Linked DNA regions of Callithrix jacchus. The protein of the gene in region 4 interacts with the protein of the main gene of each other region in a biochemical or structural test. Links are inferred from orthologs where the notes say so. Each region holds a gene or a part of one and is shown on either strand. Other genes may lie near its edges. The genes, in order: NR4A1, DUSP10, H2AX, MAPK8, MAPT, STAT3 and MAPK8IP3.

Region 1 (4,014 bases), on a different chromosome or scaffold from region 4:
GAGGCGAAAGTGGCTGGTCGAGGTGGCTCACGCTTTGGGAGGCCAAGGCAGGCGCATCACAAGGTCAGGAATTTGAGACCAGCTTGGCCAACATAGTGAAACCCTTTCTCTACTAAAAACACAAAAACCAGCCGGGCATGGCGGCACACGCCTGTAGTCCCAGATACTTGGGAGGCTGAGTCAGAAGAATCACTTGAACCCAGGATGCGGAGATTGTGGTGAGCCAAGATCCCACCACTGCACTCCAGCCTGGGTAACAGAGTGAGACTTGTCTCAAAAAAAAAAAAAAAAAAGGAGGACAAGTGACCCCCAAAATGGGGTGGAGCATCAGGCCAGACTTTAGTCCTTAGCTACTGCTCCCCACCAATTTCATTTCCCAGCCATTCACTGTGCTCCAGTCATGTGGGCCTTCTCTCCCCACTCAGGGTCTCTGCACTGGCCATTCCCTCTGCCCAGAACTGGCTCTTCCTTATCAATCAGGTTTCATTTCCCATGTCATCTCCCTAAAGGGCCTACATCCCCACCCCACCACACTAGCCTAATTTTATTCACCATAGGTCTTGTGTTCACATCTGTTCACTGGTTTATCACCTTTCTAACCAACCAGAATCTAAGGATGCTGTCCCCCTCAATCACTGCGGAGTCTGCAGTCTCTAAACCCTGCTCAGCACTGGCAGGTGCTCAGAAGGGAAGAGCCTTCCAGCTCAAGAGCTATCCCTTCCTTTTGGGGGCAGATCCAAGCGCCAGAGCCTTCTTCCTTATGTTGAATCACAACCCAGATTCTAAAATTCCCCAGCCCTGGATCCCAGCTTTGCCCCCTGTACTGGCCAGTGGGAAGCCTCATTCTAGTCCTTCCTAACGAGTACTTTAGCCATTTCCTAACTAAACTGCCTGTTGCAACAGGATACCACTGACAGGCCCTCTGCCTGACAGGCCCTGGTGGCCTCCTGAGTACAAGCTCTGCATTGGCCAATGTCCCCACCCAGAAATGGGCATATTACTATTATTAGCAATAACAACAGCAGCTAATATACTTATATATATAAGTATAAATATAATATAATATATAAAAATATATATATTATATATATATAATAATAAACAGCAGTTAATACACTTAACAGTGTATCTGACAACATGTGCCAGATACACTGTTAAGCACTTTAGACACATTGTTTCATTTCAGCCTCCCAATGCTATGAGGAAGGGATTATAATGTTAAGCAACTTGTCCAAGGTCACACAGCTAGGAATTGGCAAAACTGGGTTTAGAACCCAGGGAGCCCAACCAAGGAGTCCAAATCAAGCATCCTTCCTCCCCCTTGCCACCCGCTTGGACCTGTGTAGTGGATGGAGGGTACACACTGCACAGAGCAGTCCCACAGCCTCTGTCCAGAGAGCAGGTCAGAAGCTAAGGGCCTTTGAGCCAGGCACAGGGCCTGAACTCCTCAGCTGATTTTCTTGAGTCCAGCACGGGCCTCAACCGGGATGTCAGTCACATTCACATTGTTAATCTCAGCCCATCCTTCTGCCCAGTCGCCTGCAATTAGAATCTTGATGTTATCACACTGTAAGTGTCACTCCTCACAGCTCTGGGTGACTACAAGGAGTTGGCTGACTTCCTGTTTAAGTCTTCATCCAAGTCACTGATAAGAACGTTCACTTGAGTAGGTCTAGGGGCAAGCCTTGTAGCCCCACCACTAGGGCCCCAGACCAGGCCGACAGCAGCCCCCAAATCCATCAGCACCCATTGGGCATAACTGTAGGGAACCTAACGACCTCTGCCCAGCCTGCGTTTTCCCAATGTGCCCCTAATATAGCCCTATACCCAAATTCACAATTCACTGAAAACCACCTCTGCAGCATTTCTCGAGTCCACCAGGTCATCTATCAAAAATGAAGACATAAAAAGGGAATGAGAGAAGTCAAGGAACTGTGCCCCGGGCCCTCAACACAGACCACCAGGGTAAGAAGGTCTGGAAATACCCGCCCCCACCCCACCCAATGTAAGGAGGGAAGATGTTGCGGCAAACAACAACAACAACAACACGCCTGGGAGACACGAACCCCGAGTCCTAAGCCCCAGCTCCGCCTGACTCCACGAGATCCCCAGCCTTGGTTCCTCGACTCAGTCCCGCTAAGGGGCTGCATCGCGCAGCATCGGTCCCTCTCGGCTGGGTCTCCTGGCAGACGAGCTCCCGCGCTCCTGGAACCGGTTCCCGCAGCCGGCGGGGAAATGGAAGGAATTTCTCTGGCCTGGCCACCTCCAGCGCCCCTCGTGGGCCAAACCCCACCCTTGGCGGGCTGGGGAGAGAAAGCCTTGGCGGTCGCTCTTGGGGGCTGACTCGGAGCCAGGAGGTTCCGCTGGGAATCCAGTCCCTCTCCCCGACTCCCCTAGTTTCCAAGCGGGACTCCCGGCATGGCCCCGAGCCCGCCCCAAGGCATCCACCAAGGCCCCGAGACTGCCCGGCCTCTCCCGGGCCCACCTCCAGCCACCCCGACGGCCCCTCACCTGACCCTGCGGGCTCCGCTCGCCTCTCCACCCCCGCTTTCCGGGGTCGCGCCCCAGCAGTCCCGAAGCTGCTCCGCGCCGCAGGGGCGCCCATGCCGGCAGGCCGGGGGTCGAGGGTGCCGCGCTGGGATCCCGCCAGTTCCGCCGCCACCGCCGCCTCGCGCTCCTGCAGCCGCGCCGCCGCTCGGCGCCCCCCGCCCCCGGGTAGCCCCCCGCCCGCAGTTCCGGCAGCACCGCGCTCCCCGCCCCCGCGCCCGCGGCCGCCCGCGCTCTGCCCCAGCCCCGGCGCACCTCCCCCGGCGGGAGGGGCGGGGACCGTGACGCGCGCCCATTGACGTCTCCGGAATCCCGGCGGCGGCGGCCGACGCAGCCTCATCAATGGGGCTAAAAATAGCGGCGCCCGGAATAGCCGCGAGCGCCCCGCCCCGCGGCTCCCCCCACGCCGCACACCCGGTTACATAACCCGCCTCCTGCGGCCGGAGCCGGGGAGCTGGTTCTCAGGTGAGGGAACCGAGGCCTCACTCACACCTCCCGAGGCGGCGCACCCGGGGCTAGGTTATAAATAAACTTACCTGGGGCTTCCCCAGGAAGAAGTGGAAAGAGCGAGGCTCAGAGAGGCTCGGTGGCGGCCCACAGTCACACAGCAATTCGTCTGCTCGCGAAGACAGGGCCTGGCCTTTGAGTCTGCGGGCGCCTTGCCTGCATCGCTTGGCCTTCATGCCACCCCAAGAACAAAAAATCCCAGGTAGCAGGGCACCCAGCTTCCACACGAGAAGGCAGCTTATAGAAAAAAACGACTTCCTCAGAGGGTGAGATTTCTCCTGAAGAGGGCACTTCCCGAGGAGCGGGAGCAGGCCGCGGCAAAGCCCAGGTGATGGATTCACTGATCTGGCTGCTCCCATGCCACTGTGTGGCCTAGGGCAGTCGCTTGACCTCTCGGAGCCTCAGCTTCCTCAGCTCTAAAATGAAGATGATATGTCCGATTATCCACCCTTTCTGGTTGTCAGGACAATAACAGCTGCAGAGGTGCCTTGTACACAGTATACCCTCGGAGCTGGTTCTCCTCCCTGCTCTCCCCAGTCCACAAGAGTGCTTAATGCTCTCAGTGGCCCACCGCCGTGGCCAGGAAGCCCTGGGAGGCCCACCCTCGCCTAACCAGAGTCTCCAGGCCCAGGCTTCCACGGTAAGAATCTTCCTGGGGCTGCAGGCACTTGGAATGTTCCTGTCTCCGACGTGACTGGAGCCGTCTTTGGAAATGGGAGAACCATCCTGTCCTGAGCAAATCTTTCTCCCCCAGCAGCTGCCCACTCAGGAGTGGCTGGTCAGGAAGGCCAGGCAGGCCAAGGTTGGAGCAATGGGGTTGGGGCTGACTGGGTGGGATTGGGGGGAACCATCCTCTCCTTAGCAAATCCTTCTCCCCCAGCAGCTGCCCACTCAGGAGTGGCTGGTCAGGAAGGCCAGGCGGGCCAAGGTTGGAGCAATGGGGTTGGGGCTGACTGGGTG
Region 2 (3,500 bases), on a different chromosome or scaffold from region 4:
TAAACATACTTAAATACATTAAAATGTTATCTATAGTATATTTTTAAATATTTCAACAGAAAGGATAAAGCAAATAGGAAAAATATAATTGTTTAATCTGGTTGATAGGGATATGGGTGTTGATTACACACTTTTCTGCTTTTCTATATGCTTGAAGATGCTCATAACATTTTTAAAGGCATATACTATCTTTACGAAGAGGGGACAGTAGACTATCTTTTCCTACCCAGGTAAATGATTAATTATTTCCCTGGACCCAGCTTTGCTGAAAAGAAAAGAAGCCCCAAGAACTTCATAGCAAAAACGGTAGCTCTCATTATGAATGGTCTAGAATTGCTCAGCTTTCTTATTCAGTTTGACTAGAAACAAAGTTTTAGTTGATTAAAAATCAACTTTGTGTAAAACAGATTATAATTCTTTCAAAGACCTCATAATCCCTAAATACTTATTCATTTGGATCATTTTCACCAAGTTAAAGAGAAGCACAGGTTATTCTTCAGAAGATGAGATTAAAATGCAGATTCTAACATAGGTCACAATAGGGAGGGCACTGTAAATTAGAACAGTAACTTAATCCCAGGGGCTGCCATGCCTCTGATCGGTTTCTTCCCAACCTGACACAGCATTACTAAAATGGCAAGTTAGCAGCCGCTCTACTCGACAGACAGCACCAAAAATGGAGAGCATGGCATGGAGACAAAGGGACAAGAAGCTTGGATAGGGAGGGTAGCAACCAGTGTTTACAAACATAAACCATAGCATCAGATGGGGCAGCCGTAAATTACCCAAGATTGTACTGAAATCTCTGAAAATAAATTAACAAGCCCTTAAGAGTTTCCTCCTTATGTTCTAACCATGCCCCCCAAACCAACTTCCCTGCAAAAATTACTCATTCCAAAATGGTACCACTACCACTCTTGCTGAAATACAATCTTATCACCAAGGAAGAGGATTACTCAAATAAATCTGAGAGGAGAAGCCAGACCAGAATGATCTGCTTGATCCACTCAAGAACCTAGGAGAAGTCTGCTGGTCACGCCTTTGGGGAGTGCCCACCCCGTCCTTCATCACAATGGAGCTCTGGTATTCATCTCTGATTTACCAAGTTGAAAGGATAATGAAGAATATTCTAATATTGACCCATTCCTTTCCCTTCTTTTCCATCTTGGTCCCAATTTTAGGCCATTCTCCCAAAAATACCAAAATGACAATGACAATTATAAAGTAGATTACAGATCCTTTCACTCCTGAACTACATATTTTCAACCAAAATTCCCAGATATTTGAAGAAAAGGCCCCAAAAGCTACAAATAATCTAACCTCTACCACCAGAGCGTCTTCCAAGTCGACCGCCGCCGTGTCTCACCAACTTGAAAATGACGAGGCCTCGCGGTGGCTGCCCAGGGCACCCAGTGGTGAGGTCAGCAGTGTGTCCGGCCCCGCCCCACTGAGGCAGTCTTACTCTCTGACATTGAGGAACAAGCCCAGGCTGTCTGAATTCTCAGCTGCATCCAGAGCAAAGGGAGAGCGGCACCCCACTTTCACCAGTTGCACCCAGGAAATTCACTTCTCAGTGACTGACGGGTCACCCCTATACACAACTCCACTCTCTGCAAATTAGACAGTAGGGTCTGCGACTGCTCCTAGTCACCCCCATGTTCAGGTCTAGGGGCATCTTGACCTGGGTTTTTTCCTCTCCACAGATCATGGGGACACAAAAGCCTTGCTTTTTATCTTGAATCTCTGTTCTGTATGAGAAAAAAGGAGATTATCAAGATCATTGGCTATCCTCCTCTTTGCTCCCCAAGACAAACTATTAAAAATGGGAAATTTCTAGGTGGGACTTTCTCATTAGGCTAGACAATAGCAGGGTTAGGGAATCACTCAAAGTCAAACAAGAATACAGAAACAAAATACAGAGCTACACAGAAGAAATCTGAACATATCTGTGACCCCAAGAAAACCCACCACCACCACCAATACCAGGAAATGCCTAGGCACTTCTGGAACTCTCTGCATACAATTCCATGATGTTCTCCTTCCCAGCAAAGCCCGCCAGACCTAAGGAGAAATGTGCCTTTGTGGTAGTGGAGCTGCATGAGGGCTAGCTTGAGGGGAGTGGATGGTGGGAAGAGGAGATTGTGTCAGTGGAATTCAGAACTATATTTCCCAGAATGCTGCTTAACAAAAGTCAGAATGCCTCACTGGGAAGACAAGAAGGAGAATGGCAGAGCTGTCCCATAGAGACAAAATAACTAGCTTGCTCACCCATATGGCCTATTGCAATTTAAATATGCAATGTGTTCAAACTCAGCAACACCCTTGGTCAACACACTTTAGGAGGCTGGTTGGAGATGTAACCCAGAAAATGTGTACCTTGGCTCAAAACACAAAATGAGACAAGAAAGAAGATGACTATCTCTCACTACCATCCCCAGGTAAAAGATGCCAAATGAAAGTGATGTGCAGTGCCCCAAAGGACTGTATCTGAGGGCAAAGAGGAGCAATTAGGCTGGGCACAGGATGCAGGCTACTTTGAAAGTTAAGGCAACACTCTATGGATGGTGCTCCAAGAAGAGTGGGTGAGTAATTCCTTCTGCTGGAGCTCTGTTCCGCTAATCTCAGAGTTATTCTGCATTCAGTATACTGGGGCACATGACACATTACTCCATCTTGGGAGGAGCCATGATGCCAACCGTTGTCAGGTGAGGCCAGAAAGAACAATGGGTCAGGGAGCATTTCATAGAAATGTCTCTGTTCCCTTGGAGACTTGGCAGAGGAATGGATGTAGTTGGTGAACTTACACTTTTTATGGGGCCTTAGAATAAGCTCTGCCCTTCTTCAAGGTCACTTTATAAACCACATAAAAGTCAAGCTGGTCAGAAAGGTGAGAAAGAAGAAGAGTTTCCCACAAAAAGAACTGGTACCTGTAGGTTTACTTGTAGTTCACCATAGTTGTTCCTTCCTCTGCTCCATCAACTGTGGTTAAGTCTGAGAGACAATAACTTTCCAACTAGTGATTGATTGGAATAGAGCTAGCAGACCAGGCATGACTTGAGATATCATCCGGTGGGATCAAGCCCCCTTTAGAAAGATGAGAAAACAGTCCCAGAGAGGTGAAATGACTTGCACAATGAGAATTAGAAGCCGAATTAAGGGTAGAACCCAGATCTTCTGGCTTCCAGTTCAGCGCTGCTGAGTTTTTCTTACTAAACCAATATAATAAAGAGCATAGCAGGGAAGACAAGAATAAAGTCTATTTTGGTCTTTGGTAGCCAGGGTAAGGAGAATGCTGTCACTTCTGTGAGAAAACCCAAAGTGAACCCAACTAATCAGGACCGTGCTTGGGAAGGGAACAGGGGCATTACCTTTCAACACCAGAGGTTCTTTGCCTTCTCTCTTCAGGGACTCGAGGACTATGTGAAGTGGCTGGGAGGGCATCACTCGGCTCGGCTCATTGGTATTCTCATCATAGACTATAATTTCTTTGGAAAAGATCC
Region 3 (3,501 bases), on a different chromosome or scaffold from region 4:
GGGCATTTTTGGGTAGATTGAGAGGGTTGGTGAGAGTACTTCCACCAACAGGATGCCTATCTCTCTCCCTTGCATAATCTGATACGGTGGTTCTGATAGCAGTAAGCAGCAGAGCCAGAAACAGATCTGAGGTTGACTCCACTTCAGTGCTCTTCCTATTAATTAGCCATGGAGGAGGGTTCAAATAGTGGCCTCCTCTCTCCTTTCTTCTAGCAAGAAATGAACAGAACTGAGACCAAACAGAACATGTTGAATAAATATTGAAATCCTGGCTAGGCATGGTGGCTCACGCCTGTAATCCCAGCACTTTGGGAGGCTGAGGCAGATGGATCACGACGTCAGGAGTTTGAGACCAGCCTGGCCAATATGGTGAAACCCTGTCTCTACGAAAAATACAAAAATTAGCCCAATGTGGGGGTGTGTGCCTGCAGTCCCAACTACTCTGGAGGCTGAGGCAGGAGAATTGCTTGAACCTGGGAGGCAGATGTTACAGTGAGCCAAGATGTGCCACTGACTCCAGCCTGGGCAACAGAGCCAGACTCTGTCTCAAAAACAAAATAAAAGAACTCCTGATACTTCAGGAGGGCCAAAAGATTAAAGTTACCCTGTTTCGTGGAATGGGATCACACTTTCAGAGTCACTGGGTGTGGTGGCTCACACCTGTAATCCCAACACTAGCAGGCAGAGGCAAGAGGATTGCTTAAGCCCCAATTCAAGACAGCCTGGGCAACAAAACGAGACTCTGTCTCTACAAAAATAAAATAATTAGCCAAGTATGGTGGGGCGCGATTGGAGTACCAGCTACTAGGGAGGTTGACCAGGGAAGATCCCTTGAGCCCAGGAGTTCGAGGCTGCAGTGAGCCGAGATCACACCACTGCCCTCCCGCCTGGGTGACAGAGCGAGACCCGGTCTATTTAAAAAAAAAGAAAGAAAGAAAAGAACGTTAAGGGTCTAATTTCCCTTTCTCCCTTTGCCAGGTAGGAGAAGGGTATAGAGAGTGACCTGGCCTGGAAAGGGAGGCAGCGGTAGCTGTAGTATTGACCCCTGTCCTTTAAAATTCCTATTCCAGCACAATTTCCCAGAAGTTTTCTAGGTGGCCTCAGACTCCACCCCTTCTGTCTTCAGCTTCTGGTTTCCGACTGTACCGTTTAAATCTCGCGCGCTTTACAATGATTGGCTACGTTCGCGGGTGGTTGGCCGTCTGCCCGCTACCCCTCCTTTTCGCCTTTTCTCCCCGGGCAAAAGGTTTTCAAATTTAACCAATCGACGGGCGCGCTACCTCAGCAGAGGCGCGACACCCAAGGGTTAATCGCAACCAATCGGAGGAGGGTACTGGAGAAAAGGGCCAATCAGGAGGGTGCGGAGGTGTGTCCTGGGGGCCTATAAAAACGGCCTCTCGGCGCGCGCGCGCGACAGCAGTTGGACTGCGGAGAGTGTTTGTCCTGGTGTCTCTGAGCCGTTGAGCTTCGCCGGTCTACCTCGCTAGCATGTCGGGCCGCGGCAAGACTGGCGGCAAGGCCCGCGCCAAAGCCAAGTCGCGCTCGTCGCGCGCCGGCCTCCAGTTCCCCGTGGGCCGCGTACACCGGCTGCTGCGGAAGGGCCACTACGCCGAGCGCGTTGGCGCCGGCGCTCCAGTGTACCTGGCGGCAGTGCTGGAGTACCTCACCGCTGAGATCCTGGAGCTGGCGGGCAATGCGGCCCGCGACAACAAGAAGACGCGGATCATCCCCCGCCACCTGCAGCTGGCCATTCGCAACGACGAGGAGCTCAACAAACTGCTGGGCGGCGTAACTATCGCCCAGGGAGGCGTTCTGCCCAACATCCAGGCCGTGCTGCTGCCCAAGAAGACCAGCGCCACCGTGGGGCCGAAGGCGCCCTCAGGCGGCAAGAAGGCCACCCAGGCCTCCCAGGAGTACTAAGAGGGCCCGCGTCGCGGCCGGCCGCCAGGCCTCCCCATGCCACCACAAAGGCCCTTTTAAGGGCCACCACCGCCCTCACGGAAAGAGCTGAGCCACTTCAGACTGCGGAGCAAGCGGGCCGCGGCTCCCGCCTCCCTGCCCCTCCCCTCGCCCACCGCCCGTCCTGGAGTCCCCGTCCGCCCCCACTCGTGGCCCGCGCCCCCTGCCGCGTCGGCCTCGGGCCCTGCCACGTCCGCCGGCCGCTCTCCGGCAGGGCTCGAGCGGTCCGGAAACGGCTAGGGCGCTCTGCGGGGACCGCCGTGGCGCGGAGGACCCGAGCCTGCCGGGGGGAGACCGGCGACGCCGCACCTGCCCGCCTCGGCGCTCGTGACTCAGCCGCCCGATCCTGAGTCGCCGAGGGGCTGCGGGGAGGCCGCAGCACCTTCTGGAAGACTTGGCCTTCCGCTCTGACGCAGGGCCGAGGTGGGCAGCCCAGGCCCAGAGGCCGGCGGCCCTGAAGGTGAGTCCGTCCCTCGGCAGCTGCAGCCGGGGCGTCTGGTCCTCCCCCGTCGTGGTGCTTAGCCCAGGACTTTGAGACGTGGCCGCTGGCCTGGAGGCTTTGGTGGGAGAGATGGGCTCGCTGATATCCGTCTGGCGCCCCCTCTGCGGCCAGGACTCAGGCCTTTCACGTCAGCTCTCCATCTTCATTCATAGGTCTGCGCTGGGGCCGGGACGAAACACCTGGTAACAGGCACATCTTCCTCCCGAGTGACTGCCTCCTAGGAGGACATTTGGGGGAGGGTGGAGGCCTGCAGTTTGGCTTCACGGCTGGCTATGTGGACAGCGAGAGTCGTTTTCGCGGAAGCCAACTGGCAGCCAGGCCTGTCGGGCCTCCCCACGCTGCCCCATGTCCCTTCCAGCAAACTCGACTCGGCAATCCAAGCACCTAGATACCAGCACAAGTCGGTTAATCCCTGTCTGGACTGAGCCTCTGTTGGCTTTCGAACTGGAATTTTGCAGCTAACCCTTCCAACACTAGAACCTGAGGCATTGGGGAGTTTTAGATGGACTAATTTTATTAAAGGATTGTTTCTTTTTTAAATGGAGCGTTTGTATTCATTCTGCAAGAGGGTTGTAGAATTAGTGACTTTGTACACCTTCCCGAGACAGTGGGGGTGGGAAGGGTATGCAATATAAATAGGCTCTACTGTTATAGAGAAGGGACAAACCATAGCAATTTAAGATTATGGCTGTTTCTCAGTGTTTCTGGGAGACAATTTATTCTGTGTGAAATGAAAACTATTTAGGCAGAAGCAGAAAGGATGTTCCAGGAGAACTTTGGGCAAAAGTCCCAGCCTCAGAAGTAAGGATGAAAGGGCTTTGTTCATATCTTCCTGCCCACCCCACGAAAGAAAAACAACAAAAAGCACCTTCAGAGCGGTTTATTAGTAGAACTGGTTACATTCAAAGGCTGTGGCTTGGATTTCTCTAAAGAGATGAAGCCCTCACATACTGAGGAGGCAAGGCAGTCATCAGGGGCTCATAGTGAGGCAAATCCCTGGAAGGCTTGGACCCTGCTGTTCAGTCTCCTGGGGTAATTGC
Region 4 (4,198 bases):
CAGGATCTAAAGGAATATGAAGGATATAGTTTCCAGGACACTTAAAAGGAGCCCTTTTCATACTTATTAAAGGAATATATTTACTAACAGAATCGATGCTATATTTCTTAAAGCATAATTTGAACTGGAATTCTGAGTGACTGCTAATGGGTATAATGCCTCTTCTTTGGGTGATGTTCTGGAATTAGTGGTGGTGATCAATGCACAACTTTGTGAATATACAAAAGACCAATGAAATATATATACTCTAAAGGGTGAATTTTATGATATGTCAATTAAATTACAATAGAGCTATTTTTAAAAAAACAACAATTTGGAATACAAAATAACATAACTCTGGTTCTCTACATAGCCTTACTGTGAGCTACTGCCAAAGGTTTGTCAGTAACCCCCTACTAGAATATGACATACTTTAGGTAAACCAATGAAAGTTTGGTATCTAAAGGATTTTCATCCCTTATCTTTAAATAGTATCATTTTCTTATTTCTTCATTTCTACTTTACATCAAATAATAAGCTCATTAATTAGTTCACTCATTTCGTATTCTTTCAAATCCAAAACAAATGCTACACTGTATTAAATAGTGAAAAATAACTTTAACTTGGATAAATCCATTATTTTGAGTTTTAGGCTCATATTTTGTGCCAATAGTATTAATACAAGTTAGAACTTAAAATCAAACATTTCAAGTAAACATTCCTAAAATATTAGAAATTAAATATTTCTAATAAAACATTTATGTGGTTTCTTTTGCCCTTACTTTTCCACAAAATAAGTGTCACCAAAAACCTTTCAAACAATATTCACAAAATGATAACTGCAATCATTTTAGACCCCTACTGAGATATCAGTTTATGTGTGCCTGTGTGTAGATTACGTACATACACACACAGACATACATACACTAGTACATACACGCACACACCCCACAACCTGCTTTAGTTTATTAATCATATAAAAAAAACTTAGACAAGATTTTATTTTAGGAAAATTAATGACCTACAAGTGATTCAAAAGCCCATGTCATCGTAAAAGATAATGTACATGAACTGATCATTCAGCCATCTGAAGCAACAGTAGCATGAAGCTTCCAAAACTTTATGGAGACCATTTTTTTAAAGTTTGATTTAAAATATTATCAATTATAAAGAGCTTTTCATCAATCCGACTTTTATTGAACACTTACTATATTCCAGGCTAGGTGGTGGAGAAAGAGATGCAAGACAGGCCTGCCCTCAAGGAAGTCCCATTTTGATTGCTTGCTTTTGTCAGGCACAGCACTAAACATGTTCACTTAGAGCATCTGACCTCCTAGGTTTAACGTTAACCACAGCAGGGGAATCTGAGGTAACCATTACAAATGACTGTAAGGCTGCAAGACTGGAAAAAATAAAGTTTAGAAATAAAAGCTGTTGTATGTTTAGACCAAATCTAAGTCTACTTCCTAATATTACACTTGTACTTCCAGATATACTGCTTAAAAAATGACCCAGAATATAACTATACCTTCCTTAGCAGACATGACTTACATAATTGTCTCATTTAAAGGTCCATCTATTGTACTTCAAAGCATCCTCTTCCATGAAAGGATACTTCTCTTTACCTTCAAATCAAACCTCTTCATCTGGGTACGCTACTAAACAGTTGCTGAATGAATGAATGAATGAAAAAAACAGATTTCTAATTGTCAAGAGGGTACTCGCTGGATGCTTATCTCAAAACACAATGGACTGACGGACCAGAATTCTGCTGGAAAAATCACTGAATTTCAGAGGTAAAAATAGTAATCACTGGACAATGCCATGTAGTCAACATATTATTAAATTCGCAGTAAAGACCAGGCGAGGAACTTTCGGGAATAAAAATGAAGTGTTCATCAGGGTACTTTAAAATGGCCTTGGTTCTACCATCTCTGAATTGGGAACACAAATGTGAGACAAAGAGATGGGAGGGCGGGGTGAAAAAGTCAAAAGGTCACCACCGAGTGACCCCCAAGAGAAATGCGCGCTGACCACTGAAGCTCGGGCCGAGCTGGGTGGACACCTCCCGCCCAAGCCACCGGCCTGAGCTCTGCCTCGCAGCCCAGAGCTGAAGGCCACCCCGGCCCTTTTCAGCGCTGCTGCCTGCGTTCGCCCAGAACGTTAGCACAAAGAAACCACCGAGAAGCAAAATACGGTCCCCATGGGCTCGGGGCAGGCTTGGGGACCCGGCGGCAGGAGCGCTCTCCTCGGCTCCTCGCCGCCCGGGAGGCAGCCAGGGAGCGGCGGGCCGCGGAGATGCCTCCGTCCGACCCTCGCCGAAGTGTTTCAGAACTTGCCACCCACCCCCCGCTCCATTTTCTCCTCCCGACTCGGAGGCAGGACCCGCGCAAGGAGGACGCGAGAGGACAGGCGGGCGGGGCTCACGGTGGCGGGCGGGCGGACAGGCGGCCGGCGGAGCGCGCTCAGGTCCCGCAGCCCCACGCCCCCTCGTCCGGCCCCCGCCTCCGCGCCGCTATTGTTCCCGCACCGCCCCCGCCCGCCGCGCGCTCTCGTCCCCACTCTCGGGAGGGGGTCACGGCTGAGAAGGCTGCGGCGGCGACGGCACAATAACATAAACACGGCGGGGCCGCCGGCCGCCCTGGCCCTGCGGCTCCCGCCGCACTCACCCGGCAGCGCAGCGAAAGGCGACAGGGAAGCCCGCCAGCGGAGACAGGGGCCGTCCGGGCGGTCGCCGCGGCCGCTACCCGGCGCAGCTCGCGGCTCAGCTTTCCGAGCCGCGTCGTCCGGCCTCAGCGGCTCCGCTGACTAACAGGGACGCGGGCCGTCACCGCGCACGCCCGCCTACGTCATCGCGCAGGGCCCTGCCCCCGCGCTTCCCGAGCGGCCTGCGGGGCGGGGCAGCCCCGGGGCCCGGATTGCGGGGGCGGGGCGCCGCCCGAGGGCGGGGCTACTCCAGTGGGCCGAGGGACTTGCGGAGGTGGCCTGGAGGCGGAGCCGCGGGGAGAGCCTCCGAGGGCGGTGGTGAGGGGCATGGCCAGGAGCGGGAGGGGCGGGGCCCTGAGGCGGCACGTGTTGGCGCGTGGCACCAGGGGACCGCGTCTGGCTGGCACCGGTAGCCAGGTCCTTGCTTAAGCCTTCGGGCCTCGCTGGCACAGGGTTGAAGGGCAGGTGCGCTTAGGCCAAATATGCCCGGCGAACAGGCACTCTTCCACTCCATACACATCTGAGCGATGAAAAGCTGTTTACCTTGACCAACAGTAGTTCCATTCCGAGGACACCTGTCCGGGTCCCAGCAACCCACAGAGAGATAAGTGTTCTCTTCACCTGCCCTAGAAAAGCTGCCTCCTGTTTTCCCAAAATCCACGTCCTCCGAGATTCCTTGCAAATCCAACTCTTCCCAGATGCCTTGCATTACCTGGCTTACCTCTGAGGCACCACAAAGCGTGTAAATGTTACAGAAGCGATAAATTGACGAGCCCTTTAAATATCCAACAACGGGTGGAAATTACCTACATCAATTCGGTAGAATACATTTTAGCAATTTAAAGGCCATGTGTTCAAGGAATTCTTAACAACATAGAAAAATGTTCACAATATATCATTAAGAGAAAGAAGCACAAAACAGGTCTTATATATAGAATGATCCCACTTAGATACTATATATACACATAGAAAAAACCTGGAAAGAAATACACCAAATTATGTTAACAGTCGTTCATCATTGGACTATGGAATAAAGGGTGACTTGGTTCTCTTTCACACTTTGGGTATTTTCTCATGTTTTCCGAGAATAATAGTTATGTTCACAATCGGAAACAAGTAAGTTACTTTAATAATAAATATATAAATATTTACATATTTATATATTTTTATAAATATATCTATAATGATTTGTTTTTATAATAAATATAATTTTTATAAATATTATATATATATGTATGTTGGGCTGGCCTGTTTCTGGTGATTCTGAAAAGGAACATACAGGTGATTATTCATTAATTCTCATCCCAGTTTCTCTCTCCCTCCTTTTCAACCTTCTTAATTTCCTGCCATCCTTTATTCCTGCAATAATTATTTATTGCATGCCCATTCAGTGCCAGGCAATACAATAGAGTTTACAGATTTAATCACTGTGCTATCAAAGTAATAGCAGTAAACACATGCAAAATTATCACTGTCTTATAATACAAATTGTCAAGGATACATAATATTATGA
Region 5 (3,500 bases), on a different chromosome or scaffold from region 4:
AAAGAGAACCACCTGGGCTTCCACCAGACCCAACTAAACAGAACGTGGACCTACCCGGAGAAATCCAACTTCACCACAGCTGGCTCTTTCTGTGAACAGTGAAAATGGAGTGTGACAGGCATTCTCCTTTTCTATTTTATTAGCTCGCATGGTCAGTAAAAGCAAAGACGGGACTGGAGGCGATGACAAAAAAGCCAAGGTAAGCTGATGACACCACGGAGCTCTGCAGCTGGTCATGTTTACAGAGAAGCTGTGCTTTATGTGCAAGCTCATTCTCATGTATAATGTGGGGAGCATTTGTCACTAAAGTACAGCTGTCATTTAAAGTGCTTTGTATTTTTGTGCAGGCTTTTAAACAGTTCAGCATTTATTCGTTCTGATGCCTACCCCAGGGAAGAGCAGTTGGCAGGTTCATGATGTCATGCTCCTGATTGCAGCTTCCTTAGCATAGTTTCAGTGAGACCCTGATAAATGAAGGTGTGTTTGAAAACCAACCCCAGGACAGTGAGTGTAGGTGTGTTTGAAAACCAACCCCAGGACAGTGAATGAAGGTGTGTGTGAAAAGCATCCCCAGGACAGTGAATGAAGGTGTGTTTGAAAACCAACCCCAGGACAGTGAATGAAGGTGTGTGTGAAAAGCATCCCCAGGACAGTGAATGAAGCCATCCACTCACTGCATAAACTGCACCCAGATCTTTGCCTGTCCTCAGCATTGCACTTCGCCCATCACTTACTCTCTCAATGACTTGGTGTCTGGGGAAATGCTCCCGTAATTGCACAGCAGCATTTTTCCTGGAAAATCCCACCATGACGCTAGATAAGACCTATTTTTCTTAAAGGTATCTAAAATTTCCAACATAAATTCTGTCTGAAACACCTGGATTTTAATCAGTACTGGAGCCCCTAGGGCATCTCCAGTTGCCGTGTAGCTCTGGGCATTCGGTGGTGTGTTGGTGTGTTGGGGCTGCTTCCGGAAGTACCTGCAGAGTTGGGGCTCCGCATCCTTACCTAGTGAGGCAGCAAAGGGCCCTGTGGGAATTTGGAGAACTGCCCTGGATCTCTGAAGTGATAGTGACAGCTGCTGTCAATCCTGGTGCATGTTTAGTACTGGGACCAGGGGGCAGGGAATACCAGCCTCATGCATGCTTTCATTCATTCATTCATTCATTCAGTACACATGGGTACAGCATCCCTGTCCTGGAGTTGCTCAGAGTCTAGGGAGGGAAAGGTCTATGATGGACCTTGGACAGTTGGGCAGTGAGGGAATGAGTGGTTGTCAGTACCCCCACCCCAGATTTGCCTTCTTGTCATCAGCCCTGGGGCCCCAGCCTGTGTCCCTCCTCTCCCATTTCTGCCCCATCTCATGGATTCTCCTCCTCACCAAGCCTGGCCACACAGAGGGCCTCTGCCACTTCACTGGGGAACTGGAAAGTGTTAAGATAACACGCCTAAGAAGCCCAGTGAAATCTGGGTCAGGACCCTTCTCTGAGCTCTGAGTCACTCTCAGAAACACCTCGAGGCTTAGCCTCCCCACTTTATTTTCTGAGAGTGTGACCTTTTCAACTCCCAACACCCCCTTCTCCTCCAGGGCCATGCCCACCTGTCAAAATCCCGCTGGGGCAGGACAGACTGTGGCCATCAGTCACCATCTCTCCTGCATCCCGGCTCCAAAGGCCCCTCCTCCACAGGGATAGGCATGCAGACACCCACCCATCCCTGGTGCTTCTTCATGTGGAACAAGTTCAAGAGTTAGCATTGTTTACACTGACAAACTGAAAAAAAGAAAAGGAGTTAAGACTGCAGGCTTGGCACAGTGGCTCATGTAATCCCAGGCATGAGGCACTGTGGGAGGCTAAGGTGGGAGGATCTCCCGAGCCCAAGAGTTGTAAACCAGCCAGGGCAACATAGCAAGACCCCATCTCTTAAAAAATATTTTTTTAATTGGCCAGGCAGAGGTGGGAGGATCACTTGAGCCCAAATGGTAGAGGCTGCAGTGACCCATGATGGCACCACTGCACTCCAGCCAGAGCGACAGACGGAGACCGTCTCTAAAACAAACCAACTGAAAAAAGAGTTAATATTGGCCAGATTAGGATTCACCTGACAGTGTTAATATTAGTTTAATTTGAGACTTTAGTCAGAAAGCACATGTGGTGGGGGTGGGTGTACCCTAAGTGATGTCAGATAGAATCTTTCCAACTTGGGGCAAGTATACTCCTGATTGTAGCTGTATGAGTCTGTCAGTGTGGTGGAAGAACCCATGGGTTAATGGGCAGACAAAAAAGCGCCTTGCCTGGAATTGAGTAGAAAGTGGGACGCTTCGGACCTATGACACACTTGGGGGCATTTTCTTGAGTAACATCCTGAGATTCATGCACCTTGATGCTCTCCATCAGCTTATTCATGTGAAGCACCTTTAAACCAGTGGTCTCCAAATTCAGGGGCACAATAACATCTAACGGGCTGGAGAAAGAACATACTAGAATTTCCATTCATTTTTCGTGTCCTCTTCTGAAAGCTCTGTCAGATGCGAGTTGAGTAAGTCGGTCATATAGAACTATGATTGGGGAGGATGATCCCTTTCCTGTTCTTACTAATCAGAAGGGATGTTAAGGATACATGATGTAAACAGCCTGGAGATCACTGCTTTCAACCATTACCTGCCTTATTTATTTTTAGTTACTGTCCTTTTTTCAGTTTGTTTCCCTCCTCCATGTGCTGACTTTTATTTTGATTTTATTTATGTTTATGTTTAAGACATCCACACGTTCCTCTGCTAAAACCTTGAAAGCTAGGCCTTGCCTTAGCCCCAAACACCCCACTCCTGGTAGCTCAGACCCTCTGATCCAACCCTCCAGCCCTGCCGTGTGCCCAGAGCCACCTTCCTCTCCTAAATGCGTCTCTTCTGTCACTCCCCGAACTGGCAGTTCTGGAGCAAAGGAGATGAGATTCAAGGTAAGGAAACCACCTTTGAAAAGAACCAGGTTGCTCTGCCATGGTTTGCAAATGTGGGTTTTTTGTTTGTTTGTTTGTTTTGGTTTTTTTTTTTTAGCCTCAAAGATCTTTCTTCAAATGAGCTCTACATAGAAGCACCATGTGGAATAGTTAGAGTTCTGGACAAAGGGGAAAAGAGAGCTCAAGGCCATACCTCTCAGCACCCCGCAGGCCCTCATAACAGCAGCCCCTAAGACACTTAGCAGGACCTTGGTTTCAAAATCACTACTCTAAAGCTGGGCACAGTCGCTCACGCCTGTAATCCTAGTTCCTTGGGAGGCCAAGGCAGGTGGATCACCTGAAGTCAGAAGTTTGAGACCAGCCTGGCCAACATGGTGAAACCTTGTCTCTACTAAAAATACAAAAATTAACTAGGCATGGTGGTGCACACCTGTAATCCCAGCTACTCGGGAGGTGGAGGCACAAGTATCGCTTGAACCCAGCAAGACCCTGTCTCAAAAATCAAAATCAAAATTGCTACTGTCATTGGGTTCCTTTGCCCCTTC
Region 6 (3,500 bases), on a different chromosome or scaffold from region 4:
TTGCACCTGGGAGGTGGAGGTTGCGGTGACCCAAGATTTTGCCACTGTGCTCTAGCCTGGGCAACAGTGAAACTCTGTCTCAAAAATAAGTAAATAAAATGAAACATAGCAGTCTTTTTAAAAAATGCAGAATTTTACTTGACAGTAGAGTGAAGTAGCCTGTATGCAATGACATGGGAAAATGTACATGACATATTTAGAAAAGCAAAATGTAAAATAATTTGAATAGTAATACTGTATGTGTTTTAAAAATACTCTACTCTCTTATGTGCATTCATATTTATAGTAAGAAATTCTGGAGAAATATACACCCAGCAGTGCTATGTATTAGTGCTGCCATCAGTATCCATGGCTATTCTAAACTGTCTCTGTGATACTTGCATTTTAAACTGAATATATGACTTTTATTATCAGAAAAGGTATTAAAAATCAATTAGAATTCAATTTCTTTCTTTCTTTTTTTTTTTTTTTTTTTGAGACAGAGTCTTGCTCTCACTCAGGCTGGAATGCAGTGGTGTGATCTTGACTCACTGCAACCTCTGCCTCCCGGGTTCAAGTGATTCTCCTACCTCAGCCTCCCGAGTAGCTGGGACTGCAGGCACACGCTACCAGGCCCAGCTGATTTTTGTATTTTTAGTAGAAACGGGGTTTCACCATATTGGTCAGGCTGGTCTTGAACTCCTGAACTCATGATCTGCCCACCTTGGCCTCCCAAAGTGCCAGGATTACAGGCATGAGCCACTGCATCTGGCCCAGAATTCAATTTCTGAGAATTCATTGGTAACTGTTACTTAAAATAAGGTTGCTATACTGATGTAAGACATTGTTACAGTCACTTTGGCGCAGTATAAATTGTTATAGTCAATTAGGCAGTATAAAAATGAACATACCCTGTAAACCAACAGTGCCATTTCAGGATTCAACAACAGAGAAATCTTTGCATATATGTACCAGGAAACATGTATAAAGTGCAGAGCAGCCTGATTATAAGCTCTAAAGCAACCCAAATAAATATCCATCAATATTAGAATGAATAAATATGTGATTTGTGGTTTAGACATACAATGGAATACTACACAGCTGTGAAAAGGAATACATTGCAGATACACATAACCATGTGCATTCATTTTACATTGAGTGAAAAGTGAATCACAAAAGAATACATTGGATCCATATGTGTAAGGTTCACTAAACAATGCCCATATTAATTAGAGAAACAAATATGATAAAACTGTAAAAAAAAAAAGACTAGGAAATGATAAACTCAGAAGACAAAATAGTTATTTTTGAGGGAGGAGGGAAGGGGATGGGGTTTGGGAAGGGCATCTAGAGAATTTGAGGAGTGATGGCCTTTTCCTTAGATTGAATGGTGGGTCCACATTGTTTTGTTATTTTTGTGCCTTACATAATTTACGAATAACCAATGTAGTATTATAATACTATGTAGTATTATAATACAAACTGAGGAAAGCATTAGGTTGAGGATCATAGCATTGGAGGTTCTTCATGTTGAAGAGAGTAAGCAAGTTGTGTCCCTGGAAGTTTGTGGCCACCTGGTGGCTTACCCTTCTTGGTGTGGTGAGGCTTGGCATGTCACTTTCCTTGGCTGTGGCTGCCAGTACTGAATGCCATTCTCTCTGAGGAAAGGCATCCTTCTCTTTTTAAATTTTTATTTATTTATTTTTGAGATGGAGTTTCACTCTTGTTGCCCAGGCTGGAGTACAGTGGTGCAATCTTGGCTCACCACAACCTCCGCCTCCTGGGTTCAAGTGATTTTCCCGCCTCAGCCTCCTGAGTAGCTGGGATTACAGGCACGTGCCACCACCCCCAGCTAACACTTGTATTTTTTACAGAGATGGAGTTTTGCTGTGCTACTTATTTTGTATTTTGTGCAGAGATGGAGTTTTGCTCGAACTCCTGGACTCAAGCAGTCCTCCTGCTTTGGCCTCCCGAAGTGCTGGGATTACAAGCATGAGCCACCACACCTGGCCTAAGAGTATCCTTCTTGTTACTGTAGGCTTCCCTGATTGTGACTGAGGAGCTGCACCTGATCACCTTTGAGACAGAGGTGTATCACCAAGGCCTCAAGATTGACCTAGAGGTGAGTTCTGCGGTAGAATTGGTGAGAGGCTACATGCAGGGGTGACTCAGGACAAAAACTTCCAGCGGGATTTTTACAAGACAAGGTGGAATGATTGCTGTTTGCTTAACACTGCTTATTTTTGCTTACTTTTCTTCAAAAAAATCCTTGGCATCCCATCTGAGAATGAAGTCTTGCTTGAGTGCTCAGAAGATGTGTGTATACTCGGTTGATATATTTAGAAATTGACTGGCCAGGCACAGTGGCTCATGCCTGTAATCCCAGCTCTTTGGGAGGCCGAGGCTGATGGGTCACAAGGTCAGGAGTTCAAGACTAGTCTGGCCATCATGGCAAAACCCTGTCTACTAAAAATACAAAAATTAGCTGAGCGTTGTGGCAGGCGCCTGTAATCCCAGCTACTCAGGAGGCTGAGGCAGGAGAGTCACTTGAACCTGGGAGGCCGAGATCATACCATTGTACTCCAGCCTGGGCAACAAGCAAGACTGTCTCAAAAAAAAAAAAAAAAAAAGAAAAGAAAGAAATTGATTAGAGCTAACTTTATAAAGTTTGGGCACAGTGGGTTTAGTATACAGAAAATTGTGGCAATGACATTCTCTTTTCCCAACTTTCTTGACTTTTAAATTGAGATATACCTAGACAATCAGGAATCCTGGTCTTTGATTCCTCAGACCTCTCTGTTTCATGTGAAGATACAGCTTCAAGTCTTGGAGAATGCCTTCAGGGTCTGAAAAATGGGGCAATCTGTAGACTGTGAGTCAAGCTGTGAGCAAGTCAGGTTTTACAAGGGACTGGTATGTTCTGACAGCAGCCCGAGCCCTGTGGCCATGCTGGGCATTCTTTCCACTCTGATTGCTGACTCAGCTGACTCAGTCACACTCCTTGCCTAGAGTTGGCAGCAGGTGTGGCTTATGGCATGTCCTTTCATTCTGAGCCCCGTGAGATGCGGGTGAAGAGATTTCCGAGGCTATGCGAGCCCCTCTGCCTCCCTGCTCAGTTCCCACTTCCTCCACAGACCCACTCCTTGCCAGTTGTGGTGATCTCCAACATCTGTCAGATGCCAAATGCCTGGGCATCCATCCTTTGGTACAACATGCTGACCAACAACCCCAAGGTTAGTGTCCCCTCCTTTTAGTTGGTGCCCCAGGATCTTCTGCAACTTATGGGTACCTAGTATAAACAACGAGCACCATCGCTCATCTAAATGAGTAAATGTGTTCTTTCCAATAGAACGTGAACTTTTTTACCAAGCCCCCAATTGGAACGTGGGATCAAGTGGCTGAGGTCCTGAGCTGGCAATTTTCCTCCACCACCAAGCGAGGACTGAGCATCGAGCAGCTGACTACACTGGCAGAGAAACTCTTGGGTTCGCATTTTCACCCCTCCTCCCTCCACCTGCCCA
Region 7 (3,500 bases), about 37 Mb from region 4:
ACGGGGCTGTGTAACAGACACACCAGGCGTGCAGTGCAGGCAGCAGAGACCATTCCTCATGTCCTAGAGGCTGGGGTCCAAGATCAAGGTTCAGGCAGGGCCATTCCTCCTGTAGCCACTCCTCGGCTTGTAGACACCCCCTTCTCCCTGCGTCCTCAGCAATCATGCCCTCTTCCTATGAGGACACGAGCCCACCGGATTAGAGCCACCACATGAATACATTTTACCATAATCATGTCTCTGAAGGCCCAGCCTCCAAATATAGTCATGTTGCGGGGTGTCTCTTTACACACGGATTTGGGGAGGCACAACTGAGACAGTAGCCCACATCACCCACGGCACAGCCCCACTGAGACGGTAGCCCGCGTCACCCACGGCACAGCCCCACTGAGACGGTAGCCCACGTCACCCACGGCACAGCCCCACTGAGACGGTAGCCCGCGTCACCCACGGCACAGCCCCACTGAGACGGTAGCCCGCGTCACCCACGGCACAGCCCCACTGAGACGGTAGCCCGCGTCACCCACGGCACAGCCCCACTGAGACGGTAGCCCGCGTCACCCACGGCACAGCCCCACTGAGACGGTAGCCCGCGTCACCCACGGCACAGCCCCACTGAGACGGTAGCCCGCGTCACCCACGGCACAGCCCCACTGAGACGGTAGCCCGCGTCACCCACGGCACAGCCCCACTGAGACGGTAGCCCGCGTCACCCACGGCACAGCCCGGTGAGAAGAGAAGGGTGAGGGCCTAAAGGAGGTCCGGCCACTGGCTTTCCTGGATGTGGGATCTTTGCAGACTGGGCTTGCTGCCAACAGTCCCATGCAGAGAGGCTGCTGCAACCCACCCCTCTCCGATCCTTCACCTCAGACACCCACTGTGCAGGAGTTCACCCTCTGCCCAGACAGCTTGGGATTAGCCATTTTCTGATCATCCCCACCTGGCGGGTAGTCCAGCTCTGACTCCACACTCAGGTTCTGAGGGCAGCAGTGAGCAGGGCGGAGGCTGCCAGGCCCTCTCCTGACCGCAGGTCCCACTGTGCTCTCCCCTAGGCATGGGCAGCAGTGACGAGTGGTCTGATGTTCAGGACATTATTGACTCCACTCCAGAGCTGGACATGTGTCCGGAGACCCGCCTGGACCGCACAGGAAGCAGGTACTGGCTCAGCCCAGCCCTGGGGTCCTAGGGGCTCAGTACTTATCTAAGTCAGTGACTTAGGTGAAGGCGCCCTCTGCCATCACGGCTGTCAGGCCTACCACCCCGTCCACTCCCGGCCTGCACTGCAGTGTGAGCGTTGACTGGCTGTGGTGGGGATGTCGGAAGAGCCTGCATATGTAGCCGCTCTGGGCTGCCCACCGACTCTGCTCTCTCTCCCCACCTGTGTGTCCCAACAGCCCAACCCAGGGCATCGTGAACAAAGCTTTTGGCATCAACACCGACTCCCTGTACCACGAGCTGTCGACGGCAGGGTCTGAGGTCATCGGGGACGTGGATGAAGGGGCTGACCTCCTAGGTAAGCGCAAGCCTTCCCCCACGTGCGTGGCCAACGTTGGGGCTTTCTGCTGTCAGTTTTGTTTGTAATGAAAGTCCTCTCTTGGCCGCGCGGTGGCTCACACCTGTAATCCCAGCACTTTGGGAGGCCAAGGTGGGTGGATCACAAGGTCAAGAGATGGAGACCATCCTGGCCAACATGCTGAAACCTCGTCCCTACTAAAAAATTACAAAAATTAGCTGGGTGTGGTGGTGAACACCTGTAGTCCCAGCTACTCGGGAGGCTGAGGCAGAAGAATTGCTTGAACCCAAGAGGCAGAGGTTGCAGTCAGCCAAGATCGTGCCACCGCACTGCAGCCTGGTGCCTGTCGACAGAGCAAGACTCTGTCTCAAAAAAAAAAGAAAGTCCTCTGTCAGCCGTGAACTAGGAACCTTTATTTTTCCAGCTTTATGTATTTATTTTTTTATTTTGAGACAGAGACTTGCACTGTTGCCAGGCTGGAGTGCAGTGGTGGGATCTCAGCTCTCTGCAACCTCTGCCTCCCAGGTTCAAGTGATCCTTCTGCCTCAGCTTCCCAAGTAGCTGGGATTACAGGCGTGGGCCACCATGCCCTGCTAGTTTCTGTATTTTTGGTAGAGAAAGGGTTATACCATGTTGGCCAGGCTGGTCTCGAACTCCTGACCTCAGAGGATCTGCCTGCCTCAAGCTTCCAAAGTGCTGAGATTACAGGCTTGAGCCACCGGGCCCGGCCTACTGAGTTCTATTTCATATGTAATCATCCCTCCATCTCCATGGGGGACTGGTTTCTGGACTGCCCCAAGGATACCCAACTCTGAGGCTTCTCAAATCCCAGCTCTGAAGTGGTGTAGTGTTTGCGAAGAACCCATGTCCACCCTGCACACCCTCCTGTGTCCTCCACGGGTTAATTGCGTCTGGGTTTAGCTGTAGGTGCTACAGAAGTAGCTGCTGTTTTACTGTGTCGTTTGGGGAATACGGACAGGAAAAATGTATACACGTCAGTACAGACACGGCCACCATGGGCCTGGCTGGATCCACAGATGCAGAACTCATGGATGTCGTGGGTTGACTGTACCATCACATTCGCCACCTTGAAGGGCATGGTTCTGTGGTGTTTGGCATACGCACAGGCGGTGCCGCCGCCCACACCACCTTAGTTTAGAATGTTCCGCCATCCCAAAAAGAAACCCGTGCCTGGTAGCCTCGCCATGTCTCATGCACACACCATCAGGGCTGTTGACTTTCGAGGAGGTTGGGAGGGTGCCCGCTTGCCCAATCCTCCCCAGACGGCCCTGGCTTTGCCTCTGCGCTGCAGGTCCACGCCAGACCCTCTGTGCCTCTGTCTGCAGCAGCTGCGAACAGCAGGGCCTGCTTCCTGCCAGCACATGGAGCGCCCTGTGCTCACAGCATCTGCTGGTAGCCGAGTGCTGGCCATGTGGCTCGGATCCCCAGGCCAGGGCCTTCAGGCATGGCAGGCAGGCAGTAGGACAGTCTAGTCTGTGCCCTTGTATGCGTCAGGGTCCAAGCCTTTCGCCATGGCCTTGCTCCCCACAGCCCACGGGGCGAGAAGCTCCAGGATCCCAGGCTGCCTCCTGGTGTACTCCTGGCTGATTGTCTTATCTGGGGCAGGGGGACCTCCAGGGTGCAGAGTCATGTGGGGCCTCAGGCCTGACAGGAAGACCTGTCTCAGCCTGGGTGGAGTCAGAAAGTGCCCCGATAGAGGTCACCTATAAATAACATCCTATTTTCCGTCTTAACCGTGTTGAAGTGTTCAGCTTAGTGGTGTTGGGGACACTCTAGTTGATGGTGAAAGATGGAACGTTCTCCCCTACGATCAGGAAGAAGGCGAGGGGCCTGCTTTGGTGCTGTGAATTTTCAGTGAAACTTTCCTCGTGTGTGGCAAATATATATATAAAAAATCCAAAGGCGATTAATACTCAGAAACGTTCCGCCACATCATTCAGATAATGTGTACTTCTCAACTTTGTTT

The links.
Region 1: of the proteins of MAPK8 (region 4) and NR4A1, one has a biochemical effect on the other in vitro, tested with the Homo sapiens proteins (2 studies listed by BioGRID). The link is inferred for Callithrix jacchus from reciprocal best matches to the Homo sapiens genes MAPK8 and NR4A1.
Region 2: the proteins of MAPK8 (region 4) and DUSP10 form a complex in vitro, tested with the Homo sapiens proteins (2 studies listed by BioGRID, with this or other methods). The link is inferred for Callithrix jacchus from reciprocal best matches to the Homo sapiens genes MAPK8 and DUSP10.
Region 3: the proteins of MAPK8 (region 4) and H2AX form a complex in vitro, tested with the Homo sapiens proteins (2 studies listed by BioGRID, with this or other methods). The link is inferred for Callithrix jacchus from reciprocal best matches to the Homo sapiens genes MAPK8 and H2AX.
Region 5: of the proteins of MAPK8 (region 4) and MAPT, one has a biochemical effect on the other in vitro, tested with the Homo sapiens proteins (2 studies listed by BioGRID). The link is inferred for Callithrix jacchus from reciprocal best matches to the Homo sapiens genes MAPK8 and MAPT.
Region 6: of the proteins of MAPK8 (region 4) and STAT3, one has a biochemical effect on the other in vitro, tested with the Homo sapiens proteins (2 studies listed by BioGRID). The link is inferred for Callithrix jacchus from reciprocal best matches to the Homo sapiens genes MAPK8 and STAT3.
Region 7: the proteins of MAPK8 (region 4) and MAPK8IP3 form a complex in vitro, tested with the Homo sapiens proteins (3 studies listed by BioGRID, with this or other methods). The link is inferred for Callithrix jacchus from reciprocal best matches to the Homo sapiens genes MAPK8 and MAPK8IP3.

The regions. Positions count from the first base shown.
Region 1 is NC_133510.1:67,441,060-67,445,073, forward strand, and holds the start of NR4A1 (nuclear receptor subfamily 4immunitygroup A member 1), read right to left. Parts: upstream 2,801-4,014; 5' UTR 2,606-2,800; coding exon 2,512-2,605; intron 2,290-2,511; exon of another isoform or gene 2,067-2,289; intron 1-2,066. UniProt on the Homo sapiens protein: Orphan nuclear receptor. Binds the NGFI-B response element (NBRE) 5'-AAAGGTCA-3'. Binds 9-cis-retinoic acid outside of its ligand-binding (NR LBD) domain.
Region 2 is NC_133520.1:6,887,552-6,891,051, reverse strand, and holds part of DUSP10 (dual specificity protein phosphatase 10), read right to left. Parts: coding exon 3,369-3,500; intron 1-3,368. UniProt on the Homo sapiens protein: Protein phosphatase involved in the inactivation of MAP kinases. Has a specificity for the MAPK11/MAPK12/MAPK13/MAPK14 subfamily. It preferably dephosphorylates p38.
Region 3 is NC_133511.1:18,753,534-18,757,034, reverse strand, and holds H2AX (histone H2AX), read left to right. Parts: upstream 1-1,412; 5' UTR 1,413-1,488; coding exon 1,489-1,920; 3' UTR 1,921-3,001; downstream 3,002-3,501. UniProt on the Homo sapiens protein: Variant histone H2A which replaces conventional H2A in a subset of nucleosomes. Nucleosomes wrap and compact DNA into chromatin, limiting DNA accessibility to the cellular machineries which require DNA as a template.
Region 4 is NC_133513.1:40,582,637-40,586,834, forward strand, and holds the start of MAPK8 (mitogen-activated protein kinase 8), read right to left. Parts: upstream 2,801-4,198; 5' UTR 2,649-2,800; intron 1,382-2,648; exon of another isoform or gene 1,188-1,381; intron 1-1,187. UniProt on the Homo sapiens protein: Serine/threonine-protein kinase involved in various processes such as cell proliferation, differentiation, migration, transformation and programmed cell death.
Region 5 is NC_133506.1:86,728,000-86,731,499, forward strand, and holds part of MAPT (microtubule-associated protein tau), read left to right. Parts: intron 1-143; coding exon 144-199; intron 200-2,757; coding exon 2,758-2,955; intron 2,956-3,500. UniProt on the Homo sapiens protein: Promotes microtubule assembly and stability, and might be involved in the establishment and maintenance of neuronal polarity.
Region 6 is NC_133506.1:121,754,531-121,758,030, reverse strand, and holds part of STAT3 (signal transducer and activator of transcription 3), read left to right. Parts: intron 1-2,017; coding exon 2,018-2,101; intron 2,102-3,113; coding exon 3,114-3,212; intron 3,213-3,328; coding exon 3,329-3,464; intron 3,465-3,500. UniProt on the Homo sapiens protein: Signal transducer and transcription activator that mediates cellular responses to interleukins, KITLG/SCF, LEP and other growth factors. Once activated, recruits coactivators, such as NCOA1 or MED1, to the promoter region of the target gene.
Region 7 is NC_133513.1:4,001,885-4,005,384, forward strand, and holds part of MAPK8IP3 (C-Jun-amino-terminal kinase-interacting protein 3), read left to right. Parts: intron 1-1,052; coding exon 1,053-1,155; intron 1,156-1,394; coding exon 1,395-1,513; intron 1,514-3,500.